Linked DNA regions of Notamacropus eugenii. The protein of the gene in region 2 interacts with the protein of the main gene of each other region in a biochemical or structural test. Links are inferred from orthologs where the notes say so. Each region holds a gene or a part of one and is shown on either strand. Other genes may lie near its edges.

Evidence for each region.
Region 1: of the proteins of DNA (cytosine-5)-methyltransferase 1 (region 2) and SETD7, one has a biochemical effect on the other in vitro, tested with the Homo sapiens proteins (2 studies listed by BioGRID and IntAct, with this or other methods). The link is inferred for Notamacropus eugenii from reciprocal best matches to the Homo sapiens genes DNMT1 and SETD7.

The regions. Positions count from the first base shown.
Region 1 is NC_092877.1:136,236,876-136,243,805, forward strand, and holds the start of SETD7 (histone-lysine N-methyltransferase SETD7), read right to left. Parts: upstream 3,085-6,930; 5' UTR 2,945-3,084; intron 1-2,944. UniProt on the Homo sapiens protein: Histone methyltransferase that specifically monomethylates 'Lys-4' of histone H3. H3 'Lys-4' methylation represents a specific tag for epigenetic transcriptional activation.
Region 2 is NC_092875.1:79,919,997-79,928,046, forward strand, and holds the start of DNA (cytosine-5)-methyltransferase 1, read left to right. Parts: upstream 1-4,968; 5' UTR 4,969-5,326; coding exon 5,327-5,406; intron 5,407-5,609; exon of another isoform or gene 5,610-5,693; intron 5,694-8,050. UniProt on the Homo sapiens protein: Methylates CpG residues. Preferentially methylates hemimethylated DNA. Associates with DNA replication sites in S phase maintaining the methylation pattern in the newly synthesized strand, that is essential for epigenetic inheritance.

The DNA of each region.
Region 1 (6,930 bases), on a different chromosome or scaffold from region 2:
CCTCTCTGAACCTCATTTCCTCATCTGGAAAATGTGAATAAAAATACTTGCAGTATCAGAGGCAGCCTGACAAAGTGGTTAGAGGGTGGACCTTGGAGTCAAGTGGACCTGCGTTCAAATCCTGCCTTGATAACATACCAGCTCTGTGGTCATTGGCAAGTCAATTAATCTGTCAATATCCCAGGCACTTCAGGCTGCTCTCATGCTGGAAGGAGTTTCCGCACAGAGAATTCTCCAATGAATTTGCAGACCTCACCTCTCTCCCTCTGCCAGTGTGCCCACTTCACCGACTTGAGAAGTTCAAATAAGAGGCTGTGTATAAAAGTATTTTTCAAACTTTGACTAGTCAGTCAACAAGCGTTTATTAAGCGCTTCTTATGCATCAGGTACTGTTCTAAGAGCTGGGGATATGTGAAAAAAGGCCTCAAAATGCTACCCAAGAAAAATGATTTTAGGACCCTCTAAGGCAGCTCCCTTCTCCCTGCACTTCAGGGCTTCTCTTACCTGAGTTCAAGGAGCCACACGGTCCAGTGGTGCGCTTTTACATTTAACAACTAGCTCTTGGGGGGAGGGGGGTGTGGGGAGAGAATGACACACCTTTAGGGATCATCTGTGTCTTTGACACTTTCTCCATTACTTTGTTAGTTCTGGGCTATCATCAAAACAAAAAATCGAGCCCCTATTCATGGATTTTGCTGATTTCCAAAGTGTAAGCATTCACACTGAAAACATAACAATTGATTTTCAGGAGCTGGCTTCAGCAACCCCCTGGAGCCACCGGAGTAGAGATGGGTTCCCTAAGTTTTCCTCTTCTACTTCGGGTTTATACAGAACTTGCTGGGCTAGGGGGTGGGGTGTATCTTATTCACAACTCAATTCCAGTATTACACTCATGACCAGCCTGGACAGAACTATGAAATTGGAGGAGTTTGTCTTCAGCACTTTCCCACCTCTTCTCTGAGGAAGTGGAAAGGGTGACCTTTGCCCTCATGAGCATTCCAAGTGCCCTCCTCCCAAGACACACACACACACACACAAACTCAAACCCCATTCTTCCATAATTAATATTAACTAATTCATTCAGCAATCATTTATCAAGTACCTAGTATGTGAAATAAATTGTATTAGACAATGGAATAAATCCAAAGATAGATAAGAGAGCGTTGATGCCCTTGTGGGAACTTCAATGATTGTTTCAACCTCAGGGATGTTTTTCATTTTAGGACGACATGATCTCTTAACTAGAGAGACAGATGTTCTAATGGTGGAATATCAGAGAGTTACAATGAAATTAGCCTAGGATTCTTGTTGTACCCTCTAAGTCTTTTCTGCCAGTCTTAGTATTCTAGAAGGTAACTTCCCCTGAGGGTATCATATCTCTGGCTTTCCTTAGCAGAAGGCCCCCTGGGAGGGAGGATGTGTGTGTGCGTATGTGTGTGTGTGTGGGCAGGCAGCATCCCTATTTTTCTCATGGTGAATCATAGTGTTGTAAAAATTCATGACCCTGAGGCAGAAATCTGCCTTGTAGATAGGAAGTCCTTAAAGGATCTCAATTCTTCTTTTCTTTTAAAAATTAGGATTCTGAAATAACTGGACAAAAAGGACTAGATGCACATATACATTCTAACCATTACTCCCAAATCTTCTTCCATCTTCACTAATGTAAACAGGATAAAAGATTTAGAGCTAGAAGGAATCTCTGAGATCATCTGGTCCAAATCCCTCATTTTTCAGAGGATGAGACTGAGGCTAAGGAAGGCAGAAGGGAATTCCCAAAGGTCATTCAGAAAATAAGTGGCAGAACTGGATTCAAACTCATATCCTTAACTCCAAATCCAGTATTTTATTTGATTACACTCTATAGACATAATTAATTTTTCCATTCTGCCCTTTGTTCTGCTTTTTCTCACTTTACCTGATTCCAAAGGTATCTTGATAGAGGGCTAACCTTTGGAGTCAGGAAGATCTGACTTAAATTCTGCCTCTGACATGTACTAGCTGAGTAAGCGTGGACTAGGCACTTTCTCAGTAGCCCAGGCAAACTCTCTTATGAGAAACTGTTCATTGTTTCCATAGGGAGAGTTCTTTATAGATTGAAAGGTATCTTGAACATGGTCTAGTTCAACTTCCTAATTTATAATTGGGAAAATGAGAGGAAGGAAGGGGAAGTGATTGGTCCAAAGGTCCCACAGACAGTAAGTACGCATGTCTACTTCACTTCTCCCCCAACAATCAACATATTTCAGATGACCATTCCACAAGGCTCCATGATCCACATGCTTGTCATTTTCGATAGCTCCATGGTGTTCCATTAAGTTCCTATACAGCAGATTGTTTAACCTTTGCCTTACCATTGGACAATGAAGTTGTTTTTAATTTTTCATAGCCCTGCTGGGTACCTCTTCTTTTCCTCCTATTGACTTAGTTCCTTGGGATCTAGATTTGCTCATGAGGCTGATAGCCTGTTTGAAAGGGGTGGTAAAGCAGAAGGCTAGACAATACTCCCTTTCCTGGGTTTCTAGGCAGTTGCTGCATCCCTACTTTCTCCACCATTATAGCCTAGATCAGGGCATGCACACAGCCCGAAATCCCAATACGAACTACTGACTTGGAGCAGGCAACCCAGGAAGGGTGTGTGGAGAGAGCAAATGGTTTCTGAGCAATAGCGGCAGAGCCAGCCCCCTCCTGTATGAAAAGGAGGGGACACATTGGCAGGAGACTTAAAAACAAACAAACCTTCTTTGAATGACAAATTCAAAGGGGAGGATGGATTATCGAAACAAAAAAAACACATGCATGAATATGGATGCTGGCACACGCGCGCACACACATGCTAGACTGCCTCTAAGATGCCGATAAAATGACTATGGTCATACCTTGTGTGAGAAAGGTGATGGGACATGGGAAGTAATTAGGGATTCAATCAGAAATGCCCAGTACATACCCGTAATTTGATAATGTTGAACTGCCATCACTCCAAGATCCACATGAGGAGTCACATAATGGAGCAGTGACCCCACCAGAGAGGGGGCATCGAGGGGCCCTTGGCAAACCCCTTAATGAAGGTTAATGAACAAGGTGATGGAGGGGACTTGTAAAGGGAGTGCCTGGAGCTGTGGTGTCACTTTCCTCTTTGTTGGGTGTGCATCAGCAGGCGGTGACTTGTCAGAGAGGGCTGAAGGAGGTTGCTAGGTAACCAGGCAGGATGTGGGAGAGGAGACCCTCACTCTTCTCTCTAGCCAGTGTGGGGGAAGCAGGCTGTAGGAGGGCAGGGGTTCTCTGGCAGTCATTCTTTCTCCCAGAATGCAAAACAAATTCCCAACAGGGCAGGGCCCAAAGGTTGGTAGAGGGAGGAGACTGCCCCGAGGAGAAGTAAGCTGCTGAATTAAGGGTAGAGGTTTTTAACCTCTTCTGTGTGTCATGGCCCCCTCCAGCAGTCTGGAAAGCCTACGAAACCCCTTCTCCGAATAAGGTTTTTAAATACAGAAAATAATATACATAGCATCACAAAGCAAACTAATTATATGAAATTCAGTTATCAAAAGATACATTTTTTTTTTAAAACAAGATCGCAGACCCCAGGGGAAGAACCTGATATAGGTTAAAATAAGGGAAAGAACAAAAAAGGAAACATATCCCCCTATAAAAACATAGGCTTAAAGGGTTAAAAAGGGGGAAAGGGAGAAAGGTCAAGAAGAGAAGAGATATCTTTATCAGGGAGGGCAGCGGCTTTGTCTTTGGCCTTGATGTGGCTGTGTGCTGTGGGTAGTGTGAAAGAGGATGTTGCCTGGACTTGGAGGCCTTGGATTTCAATCCAAGCTCCACTGCTTTTCACTTGTGTGTCCTTGGGCAAATTCCATAACATGTCTGGATCTTAGTTCCCTCCTTAGGGTCTCTGAGTCTTACAAACTTGAGTAATAACTGATGAGAAAGTCATGAGACCAGACTTTTGTTGATTTTGAATAAGTATTCTAGAACGTTTGGAGGTTCTGAAATCCACCTAAATCAGGTCCTTAATTTTTTTTGAGTCAGAGATCCCTTTGTCAGTCTGGTGAAACCGGGACTCCTTAGTATACTGGTTTTATACCATCAAAGAATGTAAGATTTGGAAAGGAAATCAATTAGATTGAAATGTAGTTATCAAAATATGGTCATGGACTCCAGGTTAAGAACTCCTGCTCTAAGTATTAAAGTAATCTCCCAATGGTGCTGTGCTGTACTGACCAGAACCTATAACATTTGAGACCTCAAATTGAAAGAGACTTTAGAAGTCACAGTCCCAAATCCTCATTTTACAGAACTGTGGTCTAGAAAAGAGAATTGACTTTAAATGCTTACAAAGTAAGTAAAATGTAATGGAGGTTCAGAGTCAGGATTGGAACTCAGAACTCCAGACCCAGAATGTTTCCTACTGTACTACTCTCCCAATACAGACAAATGAATGTTGGAAAAATTCCCGAGTCTTTAACCTTTGGAAATCAACTTCACCTGATCAGAGAGGACGAGGGAAAAAACCCTCATTCCAAAATACTATTTGTGAAAAGAAAATTAAACAACAAAACAAAAGGGCAATCAATCCCTCAAATAACAGCACAGTGGAACTTCCTCTTCTCTCTCAGACTCTGGAGGCTTTCATTTTCAAAGAAGTAGTCAAATGACTGATGAGGGGGCATAGCCTGGGAACCTGAGCCTGGGATGCTATCAGATAGAAAACTGGGAAGATTCTGCTTCAGACAGAACCACGATCCAGAGAGTTTGGGAACAATAATAGGGTCTGAACTGCCCTGTCCATATTTTTCCCTATGTGATACCTTTCCTATAAACATGGGTTACCTACTTGTGTCTCACTTACCCAACAGATGGAAAAGTGGAAAAGTGATGGGGCTCTACCCATACTTGAAGCCAGAGTGCATCCAAGGACACTTACCAAAACAATTTTCTGAGTATATAGTCACTGCCTTCATTTTTAGGAGAACCAGTGCAAGGCTTGGAGAAGCTTCCCCGTTATCTTTCTTCTGATATAGCTTCTTTCCCATAGTTGGCCTTACCAATGCTGCCCTAAACTGATTTGGGTTAATCTAAGGGAGATGTTCTAAATCTAGCGTGGACATGTCCCCAAATGGTCTATGGATATATTTCAGAGGATCCATGAACTTGGATGGGGAAAAGTTTCTATCTTTGTTTCAGCATAATTAGTTTGTTGTGTAATCTTTTTTAAAATTGTATTTTATGTATTTATACATATTATTCAGAGATAGAGTCAGTCAGTCCATAGACGTCACCAAATTGCCAAAGAGGTGTCAATACCAACAACAACAAAAAAAGGTTCAGCATCCCTCTTCCTCAAGGAGCTCACTTTCTAATGGGGAAGACAACATGCAAACTCTTTACAGAAAAAGAAGGAAAAAAGGATGAATTGCAATTAATAATATAATAGTATAATATTAATTTCTCTTAAGGTTTTATTTAGTCCCTCAGGTAATCAGACTTCCTATTATACCCTCTTTCTAATTAAAATGCATTTTAACCTAGTAAATGGGAACAGCAATTTATAACTTATTTTAAGTGAAATTGGGTGATTTGGTTGATTTACTCATAGGACCTCCCCTCTGCCTGACAGATGCAACATTTTAAATTTCTATTGAAGTCACATTCCTGGAAGTTATTTGGGGTTAGAATTTTCCTATCACCAAACTTCCTGAGGGCAGTGCTTTTACCAATACATTCAAGACTTGTTGGTCAGAGCCACATCATCCATGTAGTGAGATAGTATCCACAAAAGCAGGCCAGGCCAATTCTTAGGAGGCCAGGCCAATCAATGGGCATCATTTCCTCTCATTGCAGAAAAGTGTAAAATGTGCAGGTTCCCAAACTAACCAGAAAGCCAATGCCTTAAACTGTGCTCCTTTAGTGAGTCCATTATGGTCAACCTCTTCATATTAGTGTAGCCATATTCTCAACCAAAAAATAGAATAATTATCTCCAAAGAGTACTTGATAATGTGTCTTTTGTGTGTACTGTCCTCATGAAGTAATACAGACATATATTTCTTCTGTCCACACCTTCTTTCTCTCTTTCCTGGGCCATTCTTCTAACCCTGGAGGCCAGGACTGGTCCTGGAGTCAGGAAGCACAGAGTTCAAATCATGCCTCAGTCCCTTACTAGCTGATGGCCCTGGGTAAGACATTTAATCTCTGTTTGCTTTAGTTTCCTCAATGGTAAAACAGGGCTAATGAGAGCACCCAGCTCTCAGAGTTGTTGTGAGGATCAAATGAGATAGAATGTGTAAAGTGCTTAGCCTGGCACATAGTAGGCACTAATAAGTCCTTCCTCCCTCCCTCCCTTCCTTCTTTCTTCTATTCAAAATTCCCCCAAATTTTCAGAAGACTGAAGGTAAAATGGTCCCTAGGAACTTAAAAAAAAAATTAAAAACACTAATAGCAGGATATTTGGTAAAGATTCATTTTAATGTGTTAGCAGATCCATTTATTCATAAAGTTTCACTGGTATTAAAAAAAATTACACCACAGTCAATGACTGATATTACTACTGCCATCATAAAAATCTCCCCAGTAACAAAGAAAAAAATTACAGTCAATAGACACAGAAACCAAGCCTGATAGCATGGCACATTCTCTCCTCAATGGTCCCCTCTATCTCTCTAACTCTACCGGTGGAGGGAAATACGTTGAATTATCCTTCAGAACCAAGATCGGTTGTTTCATCAGGTTTTAGTGTTGTTTTCCTTTCCATCACTGTAGTCATTGCAAAGCTGGTAGGATCTAGGTGACTCACTTAAAAGAAACTCTTTGGATTCTTTGTGGTACCAAAAACATCGGAAACAAAGTAGATGTTAACTGGGAATATAAGTAAGAAATAATGGATATGAGGATTTCAGAGAAACACTGGACAACTTGTGGGAATTGGAAG
Region 2 (8,050 bases):
GGGGAGGGCTGCCAAGCACCATTCTTGGGCTTCTGTGGCTAAGTACACTGTTGTGGGGTGGAGAATAAAGAGAGAAGACACTGAGGTCCCAAAGACTTGACTTGGAGGATTAGGGGAACAGGGAGGAGGCCAGTCTGTTGAAGACCTCCCCCTAGGAGCCAGGTTCTTCTGGAGGTCTTTTCCTGTCACCTCCCCGACTCACTTGTTAGACCAGTTTGGGAATAGGGGAGTATTCTTGACATCCCATATTAGGGGTGAAAAAGCTGGGGTTAGCTCTTGTGGGGGTTATATGCTACTCTCACTGTGGACCCCAAGCTCAGTCCCCGTTCCCTACTCCCAGCTTTCCTCCCTAGTTATCCATCCTTTACTAGCTCCCACAAGGTATCAAATCCCCTAGAACATGTGAGACCTTTAACCCTAGCAGAATGGCTATTGCCCAGTTCAAGTCAGATGAAATTGGAAGAATAAATGCCCTGAGGCTGCTCCCCCTCCCTACCCCCAACTCTGCAGAAGAAAACCTGGAATCCTGTGGATGAAAGGGAATCAAACGGTACGAGTGACCATGTATATTTATGCCTGTGAGAGTACGAGTGCTTCTGTGTGTGTATGTGTGTCTCCATCCCTCCACTCCCTTGTTTTTCCTCAGTGACTTGTAGTTCGAATATTCCACATTTTTGTTTCTCTGGTCTTTGTTGAAAACTCAAGGGGAGGGGGAAACAGTTCTCTCCTTCCCGTCTAATGCTTTTTGTGTTATGACAAGGAAGTCATTCCCATTGGGGGTGGGAGGGGGCAGGGATCTTGCTGGCTACCTATAGTCCACTAATCGGGCAAAAGGGTCCTTCCTAATAGGACTCTTGAGAGGAGACTTTTTGCCAAAGACAACTGCAATGAAGATAAAAAGAAGAGAGAGGAACAAACCCTGTATTATGTCTGCCTTCTTGGGAAATCCCTCATGCCTCTCCCTTCCCTCAGCCTCTGACCTTGGGCTGATTAAATGGTTCAGTTTGACTTCTCTCAGAGTTTCCACTTTGAGCCCTGTCTTCTGCTTGGGTACTGCTTCTAAAGGCGAAATAAGACTTTTATCCTTCAGGCTTTGAGGGGTAGGCCCCTCTACACACACATTCTTTCCTTGCTGGGGGAGGTGGGGGGGGTGGGGCTGTCTGAGCTGGAGAGGCCACTCCAACCCCAGCCTGCCTTTTTTCTCAGCCTCCCTAGGCTACCTGTTGACTTGTTGACTCTGCTGCCCTAGAAACCCTCCTCCTCTCTTGCTTCTGCCAGGTCCCTCCCCATACTCCAAAGACAGGATCTTGGTGCTTCTAAGAACAGAAGGTCAGTGACAGACCCCCCCACAGGCTTGTCCTTCACTCTGGATAGCCATCCCCCAAAGAAAACTGACTGTAATGATTTTATTGATCCCTACCACTTACTGCTATCCAGGGACTTTTCCATATGGCTTTGTCAGTAGGACAGGAGAGCTGAATGGACACTCGAGAAAGTCAGGAACACCATGTTCTCAGGAGGCTGGTTTGATACATATTGGGCCACTCCCTGAAGAGACAGATTTCCTCCCCACCTCCCCCCATTAGCAGGGCATTCCTCTAGGACAAAGCCTTTTGCCCTCTTCAGCCTCAATAGAGGATTCTGAGGAAACTGAAGCACAGGGCAGGACCACATCTTGCCAAGGACAGCTGAGAAGAACGCAGGTATCCAGGTCCCTAGCATCCTTTCCAGCCACCAATAAAGACCAGAATTTTGGGGGAAAAGAAGAGCAGTGGTTTTCTACCCATCTACCACCACCACCACTACTACCACTCCCACATCCCCTCAACCTCACAGGAAGGTAAAGGCTGCCAACTCCAGTCACAGAAAAGCTCCAGATGTATAGCTATAGTGAATGGTCTCTCCAGAACCTCTCCCCAGTCAAGCCTCCTTCTTGGGTCCTAGGAAAACTTCCTTGGTTCCTTCCATTTACACTGGGCATAGTGTGAGGCAGCTCCTAAGGGTGAACCATGGATTTCCTCTGAAAGAGTTCAGGACAGATGGGACAGGGGTTGGGATGAAGGTGGTGTGAGAAATGAGCCCATCTTACAAGCCCCGAACTGTGAGAAACATGCTTTCCTTAAAAAAGGAACAATGCCTGTTGTGAAGCCAGGAAAGCCTTTATTAATCTTTACTTCCATCCATTCCCCCTGAATGGACAGGTAGCCTCCCCAGTAAGGTTACAGGATGACTATAACACGTTCAGGAAAATGGAACTTCTTATACTGTTTTCCGAACTTTGGATCTCCCTCGACACTGTCCCCTGGTCATGTGACTTTATGTTCTCTGTGATGGGCTTTCCTTCAAACAGCTCATCAAGCCTGTGAGGTTTCTGACCTTTACCTGACCATCCTAGGTCATGACTGTGGAAACAGAACTTCCTTGTTTCCCACAGTGGTAAGAAGAATAATTAATTCTTCAGGTCATAAAGCCTTAGTTCTCTATTAACACTCAGCAACATACAACCAAAGACACAAGGAATGCTCTTAGGAATATGTGGAAAGAGACAAACCCAAAGACAAACCCACATACTTATTTCCAAGTATACCTATATATAGGCACAGAAAAAAAGGAGACACAGTGTACTGCATGCACAAGGTACATTTAGAAAAAGAAAACCAATACATGTAGACACAAAAAGAGCTGAATTTCAGAAAGACCCTCACAGTTCTCTCTTGACCCAGCTGCACACTCTTTCTAGACTAAACCTTCCCAGGGCCTCCCACCCCCTTAAGGTCAGGAAGAAGGGGAGCTCGGAGACAACTTTGTTTAGAAACTTGAGCTGTTGGCCAGAGGCACTGGGTAGCAGCTCCTCCAGTGGACACAATCCCACATGGCATTTGGGTGGGGCTACAAGTGTGGGGGGGAGTTTTGAAGAGATGCTTGGTTATGGAACTTGGAAACTCACATTTTAAAAGGAGCCATTGAGTTCTGTAGTTCCCCTCTTTTTTTGTGCCTCAATTTCCCCCTCTGTAGAATGGCAGCAACATTGCCCCCAGCTCCCAGTGATGGAAAGGACTTTTGGGTCAGTTTTCTTTAACCCAGAATGGCCCCACAGAGATGGAATGTCCAATTTTCTGGAGGAAGGAGTGGTTCCCATAAGCCCAACCCCGAAAAAAGTGGGGAACTGAGCCTGGATACAAAATGTTCTGGAGAAAGTCTGGTTCCACACCCCATGTCATAGTTTGGGGATAGGTCAGGAAACCTGATCCTATCCCCCACCCCTCCATACACACACCTCTCAAGCCTTTTCTGGGCCCCAGACAAGACTAGAATACCCAGTTCAGCAGGTAAGAGGGGGTATTCCACCTGTTTTTTTCTGCTACATTTCAGTGAGGGCATCAGTTTGTGCAAAATTCATCTCTACAGGTCTTTTGAGTCAGAGATATGGGAACAGGATCGGGCAAATCCCAGGAGCAGACACCCTGCAGGCTGATGTGGTTCTGTTGGGCTGAGAAGGGGTGGTGCTGTCAGTTCTGGGCCCCTGCACTTGTTTACATTTACTCTCCTCTACCTTTGGGAGAGGGAGCTCAGTAAAGCTGTCAGTCCATGTGGGTGACTAAACCTACTGCACTGTTGGTGACTCAGCTCCACTGGTCTCCTGGCTGACTGACCACTATGTCACTGGCAATGTACATTTCCCACTGAGTCTGACCTTGGTTTGGCTGAAACTCAGATTCTTGATCCACTTCTGAACTCTGCCTCTACCCTTGGGAACACAGCAGGCGGTTGTAATTGGGAACAGGAAGCATTGTTCAAACTCTCAGGCTAGTTGAAGCCTTTTCTAGTTCTGCACATCTTTTCCACCCAGGCTAGGCAGGGACCTTTCCAAAGTTTACTCATTAACAGCCTAGAATGCCAGACCATTGGATAATTTCCTTTCCCTTAGTGACCAAGAAGGGATCAATTATGGGATGGGTGGCTTCAGATTCAAGCCCAGAGCTTTTTAAAGAATCTCTGAAAATGGAGAACACTAATATTTTGAGTCTAATAATAACAACCTGGGGACCCAGGTCCATCCTGCGTTTTGGGGGGTGTTTTAGCTTGTCAACAGACTTTCTTATAGGCCAGGTATCTTTCTCAATTACCACTTTCTTCTGAGTCATTTCAAGATTCCTTAGCCACAGGTTTACTAGAATGGGGGCCAGTTAATCAGCGACAATAAGATTTTGGAGTCTGCTGACTCCTAGGGATCCAGCATTATCACATGGATAATAGGAACTAATGAATTGCATTGACTGACTAATACCGACCCAGCCTAACAACACAAGTTGATTGACCTCGTTGCCTCAGTTGTCTCCTTTGTAAAATAAGGGGGTTGGATGAGATGATCTGGAAGGTCTCTTCTAGCTCTGAATCCTACAATCCTACCATGGGGACATTGACTGAATAAGACAGAGTTATTGATACTGAACAGACAGATGCTGACAGATAAGACAGACTGACTGACACAGATCACCACGCAGTATTGGACGCTGACGGGGAGTGACCATCACACAGGTGAGTGTCCGGACAGACGGTCTGACTGAGGGCAGGAGTGAACAAGACTGAATGAATGGCTGCCCATAGGCAGGGGCTGCCCAAACAGGTAGGGGCTGAGCGGCCAGCCCCGCAGCAGCCCGGGCTAGCGAGACAAGGGACGGCCGGGATGGAGGCAGTAGATGACCAGCAGGCAGAGGCTAAGCAGACAGGCTGCGGCGGACGAGTTTCAGCTCCCACCCGGAGGGAGATCTGGGTCCCCAGGACTCATCCTCCTCTGCAGGGCTCAGGATCTAATGGCTGCCTTTCCCCTCTTCTTCATCCTAGGCTCGGAGCTCCCGAGAGGCACGTTGGGCCAGTCCATTTCTTCTCCCCCTCTCTCTTCGCCGCCGATGGTACAGGCCGCTCCTCTCTCCCCTCGGGCACCACGGGATGACGCCCACCGACCTCCTCCTTCCCCCTCCCCCTGCAGCACCGCGTGAGGCGGGGAGCCGAAGGGACTGCCCCGGAGGGGAGGGGAGTCGGAGCGGGGGGCGGGGGCCTCCATTTCCAATTGCCTCCCCCCGCCGGGACTTACATTTGGTACCGTCCTTCCCGGAATGGTCGCTTCGGCTCCCGCACCCCGTCGCCGGCCAGCCACCCCCTTCCCAGTTGGTATATCCCTCTCCTCTCCCCCTTCCCCCTCCCCTCTCGGCGGTTCTGGTTTCCGCGCGAAAAGCCGGCGGTCCGCGCGCTAGCCCCTGCGCGACCGGAGCCGGCTCCCTTCCGTCCCCCGGCCCGCTCCCTGCTCCCCACTCGGACCCGCGAGATGCCCGCCCGCACCGGTCCGGCCCCGGTGGCCGCGCCGGGCTCGCCCGGGCTCCCGCTGCCGGAGGAGGTCCGCAGACGGTAAGTGCCGCTCGCCCCCGGACTGCCGGGGCTCGGGCCGCGCTGGGCCTGGCTGGGCCGGTGTAGCGTCGCGCGGGCCGCCTGACAGGCCGGGCCGGAGGCGGGTCGGGCTCCAAGTCGGGGCGCGGGGCTCGCGCGCCCCGGCGGTTGGCCGTTGGCGGGGCTCGCGGCCGCGGGTCCCCTCCGGGGGCGTCGGTCCGCGAGGGCCCCGTCCGGCGTAGCTGCCGCTGCCGCCCTCCCCGCTCCCCGGGACATTTGGCGCCAAAACGCCGTGTCGGGTCGCGGAGGTGCGTGAGGAGGGAGAGGGGCGGCCCGGACCTGGGGCCGCTCCGACCTGCCCGTGGCCTTGGCCCCCGGGCTGGGCTGTCAGCTGGAGCCCGGTTAGGCTGCGGGCGTTGGGGGGCGCCCGTGAAGGCGGAGGCGCCGGGGTCCGGCGGTGCCAGTGACAGGAAGTGGGGGGCCCGGCCTGGGGGGCCCCCATCGCCTGCTCGTGCCCCGGCGGGGGCCGGGAATGGTCGTCTGGGACGTGGGGCTGCAGCCGGGAGGCCGCATTTGACCCACGCGAGAGCCGGGGCGCAGGCCTCCCCAGCCCCCATGGGGCCTTCCCCCTCCATCCTCTGGGTCGGGGTGGGCTTGCCCCGGCCTCCCTTCCTGAGGCATTCATTCTTGGGGCACGAGGTGGAGACGGGAGAACTGCCCCAGGCATGGGTTTCCCCTACCGCAGGATCAGTACCCGGCTGGTATTTCTCCTCGGTTTGTCCCTGGTGCCTGTGAAGACACGTGAAATGCCCCCTGGAGCCGTCTTTAGTCTCTTTCATGAAATTAATAGCAGAATCACTCATTTAGAAGGATTATTTTATCGTGTTTCCCTGCAGATTGACTGGTAGCGTTTGATTGTGTCTGTTGTGGGTAATTATGATAGCTAATACAAGGTTTCTGGGAAGGACCCTTCTCGCGGATCTAGTCGTTGGTTTGCTTTCTTTCTTTCCAGTGCCATTACAACTAATTAATTAGTTACAATTGTCTTTATTGTGGAAGGATAACCCGTGATTATTTTGTTTGTTACTGTAATTTATGGTTTTATTTTTTTCTTGGAAGGTGATTATGAACATGTGCAGGTAACTAAAGTGATTAGCACAGAGGTCAACTGCCTCGTCTACGTTGGCAGGAATTTTTCTGCGGACCCCGAGTGTCATCTCATTTTTAAAAAGTGTATTCTTATTGGGTGGCTTTGAGATTTTTGCCACCATGTTTAGTGGTTAGAGCCAAGAACTTCAAGTTTATCCTGGCTCTCCAGTGATTCACCAGGTGACCTTCGGCAACAAACTAAATCTCCCCCTCACTTGTCCCCATTTCAGGGAGGAGAAAATACTTACTTACATCGCAAGAGTTGCTATGATTAGTAAGGTCTTGGTATCATACATCTTCAAAGTGTAATATTAGGTATCTGATTACTTGATGTTATTTTAAATATTGTTTTAAGAGGGAGACACAGCTCCTAGCACCAAAAAGAAAAACCTATTTAATTATGCTTTGATGTTATTTTCATCAAGGCACTGAAGAAATGAATGAGTTTTAAATCTTAGTTGATGAGTTTAGAGTGCTGTGTTTGAGAGAGATGGTATAGAAACATTTTACACATTGTGCTTAGAGACCTTAAAGCAAATTCTTTCTGATTTCTTGGTATCCTCCCTAGGTTCTCAACTTAAACAATTCAAAGTGAGAGTTCTTTACAATTTGTCTTAAAACTTGAGGATCACTTTGTATCATAGTATGCAAAGTACAATAATGAGAATAGGTAAGATTTTGCTTAGTTTTGTTAATATTTGGATTAGGGGTTGGAAGACCTGCTCTGGTTCTGTATCTGTTACTTTTCTAGGTAACTTTGGGCAAGTCACTTTGAATCATATATTTAGAATGGATCTTGAAAGTCTTCTAGGCTTACCTCCTGTCTGATTAATGACTTCCCCCTCTCTTTCATCCCCATCTCTGCTAAGTTCAAGTTCTGGGTTGAATACCTCCATTTGATATTTTGATAGGGAATTTACTATCTTCTGACCTTGCTTTGTTAGAAAATTCTTACATATATTCATTCAGTTGTAAGTTGCTCAGTTACTCTTTTCAGATGCCACACTGAATTAGTAGAACATGGTTTAGTGAGAAAAGAGAAAACACTTTTCATTTCAGGATTACTTTTAGAATATCAGAGATGCAGAGTTAGAAGGGACATTCATTGATCATTGGTCTTAACACTACCAAGAGTGAGCTGGTCAGGTTTTCAGTATCCCTGAGAAGTGATTGTCCTGTTTCTGCCTAAGAACTTCGAGTATTGAAATGAGACTGAGGATAGCTCCAGAGTTCGCATTTATTTGGTGCTTTTTAGGTTAGAATGTGCTATCCTCAGAGAAACCCTGTAAAATACATAGGATATATACTAATCTTAGAATGAAAAGGGGCCTCCATAGCCAATGTCAGAATCAGGACTGGGATCATAGGCCTTCTCTGATTCCACTACAATGTCCTTCCCTCTTCCAATTGGTTTTTAAATAGCTTTTCATTTGCATTCTTTTATTATTGTAATTATTTGACTTATCATTATCCATAGTCTCCCCTCCCCTTAGACCTGGGATCTTTATAACTATCC